Canis lupus familiaris: one gene and its partners. The protein of the gene in region 2 interacts with the protein of the main gene of each other region in a pairwise test. Links are inferred from orthologs where the notes say so. Each region holds a gene or a part of one and is shown on either strand. Other genes may lie near its edges. The genes, in order: ATF4, GOLGA1 and PDCL2.

Evidence for each region.
Region 1: the proteins of GOLGA1 (region 2) and ATF4 interact in binary tests that used the Homo sapiens proteins (3 or more experiments, as listed by UniProt). The two-hybrid records come from large-scale screens. The link is inferred for Canis lupus familiaris from reciprocal best matches to the Homo sapiens genes GOLGA1 and ATF4.
Region 3: the proteins of GOLGA1 (region 2) and PDCL2 interact in a two-hybrid assay, tested with the Homo sapiens proteins (2 studies listed by BioGRID). The two-hybrid records come from large-scale screens. The link is inferred for Canis lupus familiaris from reciprocal best matches to the Homo sapiens genes GOLGA1 and PDCL2.

What each region holds. Positions count from the first base shown.
Region 1 is NC_049231.1:26,489,206-26,494,003, forward strand, and holds ATF4 (cyclic AMP-dependent transcription factor ATF-4), read right to left. Parts: upstream 3,163-4,798; 5' UTR 2,949-3,162; intron 2,341-2,948; 5' UTR 2,249-2,340; coding exon 2,023-2,248; intron 1,930-2,022; coding exon 1,103-1,929; 3' UTR 1,018-1,102; downstream 1-1,017. UniProt on the Homo sapiens protein: Transcription factor that binds the cAMP response element (CRE) (consensus: 5'-GTGACGT[AC][AG]-3') and displays two biological functions, as regulator of metabolic and redox processes under normal cellular conditions, and as master transcription factor during integrated stress response (ISR).
Region 2 is NC_049230.1:58,191,055-58,195,496, forward strand, and holds part of GOLGA1 (golgin subfamily A member 1), read left to right. Parts: intron 1-806; coding exon 807-918; intron 919-4,442. UniProt on the Homo sapiens protein: Involved in vesicular trafficking at the Golgi apparatus level. Involved in endosome-to-Golgi trafficking. Mechanistically, captures transport vesicles arriving from endosomes via the protein TBC1D23.
Region 3 is NC_049234.1:48,597,411-48,601,372, reverse strand, and holds part of PDCL2 (phosducin-like protein 2), read left to right. Parts: intron 1-2,633; coding exon 2,634-2,842; intron 2,843-3,962. UniProt on the Homo sapiens protein: Essential for male fertility, spermiogenesis and acrosome formation.

The DNA of each region.
Region 1 (4,798 bases), on a different chromosome or scaffold from region 2:
AACACAGGCAGAGGGAGAAGCAGGCTCCATGCAGGGAGCCCGACATGGGACTCGATCCCAAGTCTCCAGGATCACTCCCTGGCTGAAGGCAGGTGCTAAACTGCTGAGCCACTCCGGCTACCGGGATGCTGTTTTTCTAACCAGTAAATCCCCATATTTGGCTGGTTAACTGTTCAGCTTAAAGGCAGAGTATCTTGTGATATTTTAATACCGATTGGTAGACCCCGGTAAGATGTGGGAGGCTCTTGGCCTTGTGAGGAATCCTACAATCTTAAGGGAAGACGTCCACCCCCTCCAGCACCCCAGAGCAATGTTCCCATCAGGGTCACCGCTGCTTGCATCCCAACAGGGGGCTGGCTCTCCCACTTACTATGCTGGGCATTGGGAAGCAGATCAGGGAAACACAGGCCCACCTTGCAGACAGACCCTCACATGCCTTGTTTTCCAAGCTCTTCGAGGGGCCAAATGGGTGAAGAGCCATAGGTTCCTTCACATACCTACTTTCCCCAGAGGAAATGCCCCACAGGGTTACCCCAGGGACCAGGAGAAAGCACATAAAAAGCTCACACTACCTGGTGCCACACTGGGTGTCCCCATCGCCATTCCAATGAACGTCAAGACTGGCTCTTCCTGGAGAGCTAGCCCTGCACACCAATTGCAGCAAGGATTCCTCTGGTCAGATTGCCAGCCTTTGAGCCCAGCACTGGCTAAGAATTTCTGCATCTCTTTAAAACTCCTTTAACAGTCCATTCCAAGAAAAACCCAAAGACCTTTTCTTTGCAGTTCCAGGATTGAGTTTACAGAACTTGAGTTCAAAGTGGAATTTAACCTTGTATGCCCAGGTGGGGCCTTACCTGGGTACTCAAGACTAGTCAGTGTTATGGCTTATGAGGCCACAGCCTCACCCCCAGAGTCTCCTGTGGAGGCCCTGAGCCCAACAGGATTGAGCCAACTCCACTTGACTTGGTCACCATCACCAGGGTAGAGATTAAGACAAGAAACCAGGTACACACGAGCTCAAGTACTTTCACTACAAAATAATTTATTACAACACAGCTTCAGCGCAAGCCTATGTACAAGCACACATTCCTGACACCCCCAACTAGGGGACCCTTTTCTTCTCCCTGGCCTTTCTGACCTCCTCTATCAAATCTTTCAGATACTGGATCTCCTTAGCTAAAGAATCTGCCCTCTCCTTCAGAGCCTCGTTCTTCTTTTCCAGTTCTTTACACTCACCAGTGAGGGCTTCCTGCTCTGCCCTCTTCTTCTGGCGGTACCTAGTGGCTGCTGTCTTGTTCTGCTCCATTTTTTTCAGTTTCTTATCTAGTTTCTCAACCTTTACTTTTGCGGTCTTCTCTCCAGGAGGGTCATAGGGTTTGGGGCGGGCAGAACCACAGAGGGAACCTGGAGACAGCAGGCTCCTATTTGGAGAGCCCCTGGAGGTAGAGGGGCTATGCTGGGGGGACCCAAGATAGGACTCAGGACTCATACAGATGCCACTGTCATTATCTGAGGGGGCATCTTCCTCCTTTATGCACTGAGGGATCACGGTAATGTAAGCAGTAGAATCTGACTTTCTATCTCCTTCAGAGATATCCACTTCACTGCCTAGCTCTAAACTAAAAGAATGATCTGGAGTGGAGGACAGGGCCCCTGGGGAGAGTGGAAGTGGTTGCAGAAAGGTAAAGGGGGCAATCTGGTCTGTTTTTGGTAAACTTTCTGGGAGATGGCCAATTGGGTTCACGATCTGAGGGGGCTCCTTATTAGTCTCCTGGACTAGGGGGTCAAAGAGATCACACGTGTCATCCAACGTGGCCAAAAGCTCATCTGGCATGGTTTCCAGGTCATCTATACTGAACAGAGTGTCAAAATCAAACTCCTTCAGATCCATTTTCTCCACCATCCAATCTGTCCCGGAGAAGGCATCCTCTGCAAAAGAGTCAAGAAGGAACCCGAGAGGTCAGACGCACACTTCAGCAACAGCCCGGAGACCAGACCCGGCGGCCAACGACCCCCACTCACCCTTGCCGTTGTCTGAGGCACTGACCAACCCATCCAAAGCCAGCCATTCGGAGGAGCCCGCCTTAGCCTTGTCGCTGGAGAACCCATGAGGTTTGAAGTGCTTGGCCACCTCCAGGTAGTCGTCTAAGAGACCTAGGCTTTCCTCAGCCCCCAAACCCGACTGGTCGAAGGGGGACATCAAGTCCCCCACCAACACCTCGCTGCTCAGGAAACTCATCTCGGCCATGTCGCGGGACTTTACTGGAATCGAGGAATGTGCTTAATTCGAAGGTGTCTTTGTCGGTTACAGCAACGCTGCTGCTGGATGCCGTGAAAAGCCTGAAACGGAAGCAGAAACCGAAACCCCTTCGACATCGGCCGGTCCGGGAAGCTCATCCCTTCCTCCCGGGGGCAGGACGGCCAGACTGGAACTCCACTCGGGAGCAGAGGCTCGGGGACACGTGGCCCCGGGGCCATGGCTTCCACCTTCCCCGCGGCCCCGTCGGGCCGCCCAAGATGGACGCCCTCGGGGCCGGGCCGCTCCTCCCCCCGCCGCCGGAGGAGGCGCGCCCGGCTCATGTCCAAATACGGCCCAGGCCGCCCGGCCCCGCCCACGGCCGCCCGTGACTCACGCTGCGCCGCCGCCGCCCTGCCCGGCCGCCATCTTGGCCCCTGCCACGTTTCGCGGGGGGCCGGGCGGGAAGCCGTCGGGGGCCGCGGCCGGGGCCGGGGCCGCCGAGGGCTCGCTTCTCCCCGCCGGGCCGCACTCTCCTGACCCAGAAGCGTCGGCGTCTCGAGGACACCCAAACAGGGGCCACGCGTCCCGGGCGCTCGTAAAGCCGCTTCCCCCTACGCGGCACCGCCCCGCCCCGCCGCAGGCCGCGCCCAGGCGGGCCGACTGCCCTCGCCGACCCGGGGGAGCACGGCGCGGGCGGCCCCGTACTTACGCCATGGCTTAAGCCGCTGGGGGGTGCCGCTGCAGAGCCTGGTGCTGCTGCCGCCGCTGCAAAGGCCAATGCTGCCGCAGGCACTGCTGCCTCTAATACGCCATGGCGGCCGCGGACCCTGGGGGATTGGAGGAGGGAAGGCGCACGCTTGCCACAGGGATCTACATCTACAGGCGGGAGGAAGGGAAATGGCCGCGCCGCGCCGATCGAGGGTCCTTTATAGACTTTGCCTCTATGAGGACGCATCACACCGCACATCCTTCCGCCGCGGTCACGTGACCCGCGCCTCCCACCCACCCGTCTTCGCGATCCGACGCCCCTATCGTGTCCGACCAGCGACTTTTAGGTCCACGGCGTAGCTGTGAAGAGAAGAGTTGTTACTTCCAACGTCTCGAGAAAGGAAAAAGGCGCGCTACTTTGCAAGGCTACTAAGATCAAAGAGCCTCTCCTCCCTCTGCCGCCGGGAGCGCGGAGGGATTCCTCAGACACACCTCGCTTCCGGCGTCAGCCTGGGGGGCGGGGAGAGAAGTCTTTCACCTCAAGGAAGGTTTTTATTGTGAAGTCAGAGGCCGCCTGGTTATCGCGCGAGATGCTGGCGGAGAGCGAGCGTCGAGCTGATTGGTTAGACATGGTGAGTCATATATATCTCGGTTTCCTATTGGCTCAGACCCCGGGATGGGCGGGCCGCTCCGAGCGGGAGGCCGGGTCCGAGCGGGAAGGGGCGGAGCGGCCAGCGGGGTTCCCGCCGCCGGGCTGTGTCCTCCGTGGCCGCGTCTCGGTGAATCCGCTCTGTAGTGGCTTCTTGAGCCTGGCGTACGCGAGGCTGTCCGAGACGACCCTGGCTCCTCCCCCGGGCTTCTGGAGCCCGAGGAGTCCCAAACGGCGACATCAGGCCCTGGCCCCTGTGGTCCCTTCCTGCCACCCTCCGTCCAGCTCCGAATTAGAGACCCAAGTTCAGGCCCGAGATGAAACTAGGCAAAAGGAAGTGGAATTTCGGGTGCGTTTTCATCACACGCAAGCACCGAAGTAGCTGAAAGGGGAGACTGAGGGCCTCAGTCGGGTTCTAAACGCTCCCCACACACCGTCAGGGGCCAACGCCGCGTCCTTCCCGTGAACTCTCCAGTCCGGTCGGGAAGGTGCACAATCTAGCCCAGTTAGTGACTCTCGCATACCGGCCTGCCAAAACGTTTCTGTTAAAAGTATGCAGTCTATCACAGGGAACTTCTTTTGGTTTATACAGATGCAGTTCCCCTAAGAGATTTTGTTAAACTGGTATCTGTCCCTCTCCCAATTCTGCAACCTGGTGGGGGGAGAATCTTGAGCACCCACGCCCACTCACGGAGGTTTGGAGGTTCGTGTTTGGAAGCGGCGGTCCAGGTCAAGGCCTGCAACTTGCTCTCCACCGGAGAGCTGTGAAGAGTGCCGGGAAAGGTCTCCACTATCCTCCGTCTCCTTCAGGCCCCTGGAGGGCAGAAACCTTGGAGTTTCTGCCTCCGTTTTAGTGGGCCATAGAACTGTAGGAGGGCTGTGAGGTCAAAAATTGGGGGGGGGGGGGGGGGGGCGGACACTGTCCTTGATAACTACAGACCACTCACTAGCCAGCCCAACGATTTCTTTACAAGGTCAAACTGAGAACTAATGGGAGGTGTGTGGCCCAAAGCCACACAGCTGCCAGTGGAGGCATGGGTCAGGCCTCAGATTTTAGAAGCAAACCCCAAAGGATCCTGGCTCTGCTATTTAGTAGCTGAGACATTTTGGTTAAGCAGTTTATCCTTGCTGAGCCAGTTCCCTCATCTGTAAAATGAGGCTAATTATGAGTCTCCTCATCCTTAGAATGAAAATCATATTTA
Region 2 (4,442 bases):
ACTTTCTTTTTCTTTCTTTCTTTTTTTTTTTTTAAGATTTATTTATTTATTTATTATTTATTTATTTATTTATTTATTTATTTATTTATGATAGAGAGAGAGAGAGAGGCAGAGACACAGGAGGAGGGAGAAGCAGGCTTCATGCTGGGAGCCTGATGTGGGACTTCATCCCGGGACTCCAGGATCACGCCCTGGGCCAAAGGCAGGCGCCAAACCGCTAAGCCACCCAGGGATCCCCTTTTTTTTTTTTTTTTTTTTTTTTTTGAAAGATTTTATTTATTTATTCGTAGAGACACAGAGAGAGAGAGGCAGAGACACAGGCCGAGAGAGAAGTGGGCTCCATGCAGGGAGCCCGACATGGGGCTTGATCCCAGGTCTCCAGGATCACGCCCTGGGCCACAGGCAGCGCTAAACTGCTGTGCCACCGGGGCTGCCCTCTTTGCAACACTTTCTGATCTGAGTTCTGGCCCAGGGCTTGGGACCCTCTACTCCCACCACCCAACACCTTCACTCCCCTTCACCTGCCTAATCTCAGCTTCCAAACCTGCCAAGCAATTCAGTATGTTTTTGTTCCTAAGTTATTAAATAACCAAGGCAGATTAGGATTTTTTACTTAAACCTGGGTGGAATTTTTCTTTTTTGGCTTCTACTTCAGAAAGATCCAAGGAGTCTTCTCCATTGATAGTCTTCACATGGCTAACATTTGCAGCCCTGACATATAAAGAACCATCTGTATTTTTTCCTGTAGAAGTGTCTCTTAGATAAGATTTCCAAATGTGCTTATTGTCTACTTTCTTTCAATGAAGAGATCACGTGACAGCTTCAAAAACAGGTGCAGAAAATAAGATCTCGGCCCTGGTGCAAAAGGAGCAAGAGCTCCAGGCATTCATTCAGCAGCTTTCCATGGACTTACAGAAGGTAAGTAGAGTACTAGGAGTAGATCCAGGTGGCTAGAGCTTATGGGGTAGAAACTAAATCTGGCAGAAATTTCTGTCTCAGGGTGGCTACTGAAACTTCTGCTTCTCATGCAATGTGGCCCTAGTTCCTGGTGTAGCCCCGCTACATCCTGATGGAAGTGGCCACACAGCTGAACAGAAGAGGTCAGTATTGTCCCGGCAGGAAGTCTCAAAGTACACCATTTGATCTACTCCAGTTTGTCTTAAGTACTTCATGGTGGACCATGAGCATAAGAAGAACAGTCATGGTTGATATGGCTTAATCTGGTGTATTCCAAATGATAATCCTTACAGTTCAACATACATTTATTGCCTTCCTATTATAGGCCTGTGCTAAGTTTTGAGACTATAAAGAAGAATAAAACATTATTATTGACTAGTGTTTCTCAGTGGCATGTTTCTTCTCACCATTTTGAATAGAACAGTTGTCCCTTGCATTGCAGGACATTTAGCTTTCCTGGCCCCTGGGTTCTTAGTGCCAGTAGCACCCTTCAGGCATTGACAGTCCAGCCCTTCCCATCATGTGAAAAAACACCCCCTGGTGGGTGGTACCACCAACTCTACCCTCTTCCCTTGAGAACTGCTAATCTCAACTGCAACAGAGACTTCCTACATCATTACAGTACAGTTAAGATTTGTGTAAATAGAAATCTATATACTCCTTCCTTCTAGGTATTAGCACACACATAGATGCCCAAATGGAGGTTATATACCTCACTCAGAGTTCAGCAGTGAGTGACAAAGCTGGATTCTAGCCCAGGTCTTACTCCAAAACTCATGCTTGTCCTATTGGACTGTGTTGCCTTCCAATAAGGGTCACCCAGTAAATAGATCTCACATATATGAATGACTCTGATACAAGGTCTCTACTCTCAGTGAAGATCTAGACACACACAGTGTTTTCTCAGAGGCTTATAGTTTCATTATAGAACTCAAACCTAACCACAAGAAAACACATTCTTAACAAATCCTAAATAAGTGAAATAGATTTTGTAATGAAAAATATATGCCATAGGGAGAGAGTGTATTTCTAGCATAGGAGTCAAGGAACTCTTCCTGGAGGAACTGGAATTTCAAAGATGGGTAGAGTAACAGGAGGCGGAGAAAGCAGGACACAGAACACATAGGGTGGGGGAAGATAACATACACAAAATTTGGGGATTCAAGGGACCCTTTGATATCAGAACCATCTAACTTACCATGTCATCATTGGAAAAACTAATTTTCTAGCTTGTGGTTATACTAATACGTTCCCTCACTCATTCTAAAAATATGATCAAAGCCTTCCTATGTGCCAGGCTCAGCACTCTTTGCCCAGTGTTAAAAATACTGTGATGAGCAAAACAGATACTGCCCTTGCCTTTGCGGAACTTCTAATCTAGAGGGAAAATCAGATATCAATCAATAATCATGTAAATATACTATTGCAAACCATGATGCATGAAGGAAAACTGCAGGATGTTGTAGGATCCTGTAATGGCATCAGGTTAGATCTAGCCTTGGAGTCAGAGAACAAAGCCCTTGAAGAAGGAACACTTGAGCTGTGGAGGGGGAGAGACAGTGGGAGAGAATTTGAAGCAAGGAATAATGAACAGTACGAACCATAAACCCAGAAACCTTGAGGCAGTAGAAGGATGAGCACATTCAAGGAACTGGAAGAGAAGACACAGAGAATGGACTGGCATAAGGGGAAACATTGGATGGGGTTCCAGTTAGGAAGTTCTTATACCTGTCTTGGCATCAGATGGTGGCTTTGACAAGAGTGGTGGTAAAGATAAGGGGGAAGTAGACATTTACAAAATAATGAGGAGACTGACCCACTCGCTAATGTAATGGATGTAGGAGGGAAGCAAGAGAAAAGGAAGTTTTGGTGATGGTTTCTGAGTTTCTTGATAGCAACTGAGTGGCTGATAGGGTCGGTCATTGGGTTAAGAATATCAAAGGCTGAACAGTTTTATCATGAAGAACATGAGTTTGGAGTCAGGTTTTTTTTGTTGTTGTTGTCCTTATCGTTATTGAATAAATGTAACATTTATAAATATAAGTAGGGTAGAGAGTATAACAAGGCAGTGATCCCCTTGTAGTTAACCCCAGGATGAAAAGAATAATCTATTTATACTTGAAGTTCCCCATGTGCCATTCACTGTTCATCCCATTCCTTTTTCCTTTATAAGGAATCTAGAAACTGTTGTTTCCTTTTTCTTCACTTTATAATTTTACTGTTATTTTATCTCTAAATAGTATGTATCTTCTGTTGTTTCTCATGCTTGTTAAAAATTATATAAATTATGCTATAGGTATTCTTCTAAAACTTACTTTTTGTGCTCAACATTATATTCCCAAAAAACATGCGTTTGTATACATGCAGCTGTATTTTTTTTTCTTTTCTCAACTATATAGTGTGAAGTAACAAAAGTTATTCATCGTATTGACCATCAACATTGAGGTGTTTCTGGACTTTTACTATTACGAACAAGGCTACTGTGAACATTCCTCTACCCGTGCAGGTTACTCTGGGGTATATTTAAGATGTGGAAAGGTTAGGTGTGCCTGGCTGGCTCAGTTGGTGGAGCATGCAACTCTTGATCTCAGGGTTGTGAGTTTGAGCCCCACATCAGGTGTAGAGACTACCTAAAAATAAAATCTCACCCAAAAAAAAAAAAAAAAAAAAAAGATTTGTACTTTTTCAACTTTTCGGCATAATGCCAAGCATTTTTTTTCCCTAGTAGTTGTAGTAATTCACAGTCCCACCAGCCATGTTTGTTCTGCTTCCTTGACAACATGGGATATTATCAGGCATTTATTTTTTGCCAGTCTAGAGAGTATGAAATACTAACATTTTTTAAAAGATTTTATTTATTCATGAGAGACAGAGAGAAGGCAGAGACATAGGCAGAGGGAGAAGCTAGTAAGGCGATGTACTGTATCATACAGATACCACAGTGGCATATGCCCTTCGCAGGGAGCCCGATGTGGGACTCGATCCTGGAACTCTGGGATCATGCCCTGAGCCCAAGGCAGATGCTCAGCTGCTTAGCCACCTGGGTGTCCCCTTTCAGCATGATTCTAATTTGCTTTTCCCAGATTACTACAAAGTGCTACTGTCCTTTCATGCTTATAGGTCATTATTGTTCTGTGAAGTACTCATTCAATTCTCTAGCCCATTTTTCTGCTACATTTTCTTTTTCTCCTTGATTATAGGATTCTTTATATGTATCCTGGCTGCCATGCTCCCTTGTCAGTTATATGGGTTGCAAATGTCTTCTCCCAGTTTTTGCCTTGTCTTCACACCCTTTATGGTCTCCTCTGATGAAAATATGCTCTTAATTTTAGTATAGTTGAATTTATTATTTTCCTTTAAGTTCACACTTTTGCTTTTTTAATTTACTTTAAAAAAAAATGGTTCCCCCTTCAGTGAGACTTCCATTTTATTTATTTGTTTTTTAAGTAATCTCTACACCCATCATGGAACTTGAACTCAATGAT
Region 3 (3,962 bases), on a different chromosome or scaffold from region 2:
CATTACCACTGATCTAGCTCTCCTTCTGACAGTAATGATGCAATTCCATTAAATTAGGTATTAGTGGATTCATTTTACCTATTTGAGGAAAACTGAAACTTACAAAGGCAATTTACATTGTTGCTTTGTGTGGAAAATTGATATTTATGTTAGGTGGCTCATGCTTTTCTAATATTACAATAGGTCACCCACTAAAATAAAACAGACTCTAGATTTGTAGCAGGTTGTAGTTATCAAAATAAATGGCATTCTATATTTTGAAATGTAAGTTAAACGTATAATGCATTTAATTAGTTTTTCTTAGTTTCTTCCACCATAAATTGATATATAACATCATCTAGTATTAAGAGGATTTCTGAAGATTTTGTAGATGGTGGAGATACAAAGCCATCACTATAGCAGAGAGAGACCCTTTCTGCTATAGATTAAACATAACAATACAGTCTTTTAGGTGCTAGAGTTGAATTTTATATAGTCCTGAAGAAGGGGTAGTCCGTTTTATCCTTGGAGGAAGGAAGTCTGGAACTTTCTACAGAGTATGTAATTCCTGGTCTTGGCCTCAAAAAATAAGATTCCCCAAAGAGGAAGTAGACAGGATGAGGTGGGATGTGTTAGAGTGTACAGCTTAAAGAAAGATTACAGAAATAAGACAGCATCTTGCTTTAAGTAATGTGGTAGCAGACAAAGAGACCACAGAGAACCTTGAAAGCTACACAGAGGAGCCCAGACTTTATCCCAAAGACTGTGAAAAGCCACTTAGGGAGGGACTTTAAGCTTGAGAGCAGGGCAGTTGTTACATGGTGAGATTTTCATGCTGAGCTCCCTTTGTCAGCAAGGGTCAAGGATGAATTTGGGAAACTAAGACTGGAAACAGGTCATTTAGGACAATCTGATGGAGCTCAGTTGAGAAAGGAAAGGAGTAAGATAATGGAGAAAAAGAGGAGAGGTTAGTTAGGTATGAGATAAGGAAGTAGGAGCAACATGATTTGATTACCGATTAGATGTAGAGAAAAGGGAGATTTCTGGCCTCTGTGCCAAACTAAGAAAATACAGAAGAAATGTATAATATATACATATATACTTTTTTTTCTTTAAGGGAGGTGGGGACATGAAGTTCATCAGTGTTTTTTGTTTTGTTTTGTTTTGTTTTTTTAGTTCATCAGTGTTTATATCAGAATGGATAAGATGGCACAGTGAAATGTGTCCAGTATAAGAGAGTCCAGGACACAATCACAAAGAACATCCACATTTGAGTCATAGACAGAAGAAGGAAGTCAAAGAAGTAAAAAGGAAATTAATAGAAAGTGTTATCACAGCAGCTCTTCTTGCCCACGGGTCCTATCCCCGTGCTTTAATAAAACCACCTTTTTTTTTTTTTTTCCCCTGGGGAAAAAAGTGTTATCACAAAAGCCAATAAAAGGGAAAACCTTTCAAGAAAGGAAGTGAACAGAACATAGAGATTATTATTTTCCTTTCTTTTGGGGCTATGAACAAGAGAGAGTGGTTATTTGAAGGAGACATAGAGTTGTAAGTAACTCTTAAAAATTTAGTAACTTAAGTATATTTATAGAAAGTGGAGGAAACAAGAGGGAGAGCAAAATAACAAGCAGAGAAAGGTCCCATGGGAAATGTGTATGGGATAAAGTAAAGGATTGGCTCTGAAACAGTTTGATAAGACTGTGAATGAGTGAGAGAGAAAAGGGACTAATTGAAGAGTGGGTATATTGGGAGTCAAATGATAGCAGGAAGAATTGCAGGTTCTGGTCACACTTCCAATCAATTTTTAAAAAATTTATTAATCTCTCTACCCAACATGAGGTTTGAATTCATGATCCCAAGATCAAGAGTTGCATGTTCTTCCAACTGAGCCAACCAGGTGCCCCTTAAAGATCTGATAGCGAATAGTTCTAGATAATGGGAAATAGGATGCTTCATGGAGTGGGATGTCAAAGAAAAGTGTGGATGAGGTCAAGAAATTCAAGGAAATTTTAGATTAAAAAAAAGAAAGAAATTTGAGATAAGACACTTTGGATGTCATAATCTCATGTAAAAATAAGCCCAAGGTGGTGAAAAGAGTTGGAATCCTTTGTTTCAACTCAGAACTACTAAGGATTCCCTAGAAGTGTCCTGTCTTGTTTTGTTTTCCCTTAGTCCTGTAAACTAGGAACTAACTTGATTAAATTGATGCTAAGTCAGATGTGGTTAGCCTTAGTTATGCATCAAATTCCCATGGTAGCAAGCTTCACTCCCAGGCTATAATTGTGTTTACAATAAATATGGTAGGGCTCTGCAGTTTATCATTACTAAAAGTAAAAAGAGAAGATAAGAGTTTATATGCTGTTATATTAAAAGAATATCCAAAGAGGTGAACCTGGGTGGCTTAGTAGGTTAAGTACTGACTCTTGGTTTCTACCCAGGTCTTGGTCTCATGGGTCCTGGGATAGGGCTCTGTGCTCAGCTGGGAGTTGGCTTGAAGATGCTCTTTCTCTGCCCCTCCCCCTACTTAGCCCCCCCATTAATTAATTAAAAAAAGAATATCTAAAGATGTATTTTTGTCATGTAGATATTTCACTTAGTTCATTAGAGAGAAGTAGTGTGTTTTTAAAGATGTTGTGTACTGTTTCTCTTTTTAGCATCCCAATGTGTTTGTTGGTTAACCAGCATCTTAGTCTCCTAGCAAGAAAGTTTCCGGAAACTAAGTTTGTTAAAGCCATCGTGAACAGCTGTATTCAACACTACCATGACAATTGTCTACCAACAATTTTTGTTTATAAAAACGGTCAGATAGAAGGCAAATTCATTGGAATTATAGAATGTGGAGGGATAAATCTCAAGCTAGAAGGTAATAATACTATTTTAAAAATGTTTATTAAACAGGTGAAAACTTCCAAAAATTTACAAATATCGTGAAAGTTTATCTCCATAAAACATAAGGTATTTTCCCTCCCTTCTAATCTCTTCTTGTAGGCCTCCCGATTAATTTTCCTATAGTAATATGCTTCTTACAACATCTACTTGCTTAAATCCTTAAAGGTTCCTTGTGGTCAAATAAGTTAAAAATACAGAATCTTCTGCTTAAGAATTTCAGCCTACCGATCCAACTGTATTACTGCAGAGACATCTTACTCATTTGTGCCTTTATTCTTGGTCTCATACTCATGCCCTGGACCCTAAATACCCTACCATTCTTTATTGTTCCTCCATATCCTGTTCCTTTGTGGTTCTCCTAGGTTTCCATTTCTCTAATTACGTGACTTTGGACCAATTCATAATCTTCCTCTTCTCTCCTAAATTTCTGTAGCATATTTTCTCTATAAAATTTATTTTTCACTTATCCACATACTATCTGATTTTATCAGTTAATTAATTCCCTTTATTTTCTTTTTCACAGTATGTAGCACAGCACTTTATAATTTTAATTTCTTTAGTAATTTTTATTTCCTGACCTCCTTCCAAGGCCATATCTAGTCATTTCTTGGAACTGCTTTAATCTATATTATTAAAATCTTTTTCTCACACCATGTTAAAGCCATTGAGCCTCATCCTTTTAATTAAACAAATTAATACGCAAGAGTACAAATAATAATATAGCAAACATTTATGTAATCGATTACTGTCGAAAATAACAAATGTGAACATTTCTTCATGTTTGCTTGAGCTATTTGTTTGTTGTTCAAATAAACATTACAGATATAGTTAAAGTTACCTATATTTTCTTCCTAGTCCCATTCCCCTTCCTATCTCTCAGCAGGCAATCATGATCATGAATATTGTGTTATCTGGTCCATGTTTTTTGTGGGTTTTTTGGGTATTTTTGGTATAAACAATTTTTTAAATTGTTGTAAAATACACATAACATGAAATTTACCATCTTAATCATTTAAAAATATATAATACAGTATTATTAACCATAGTTAACATGCTGTACATTACATACTCAGGACTTATTTGGCCATTTTTAA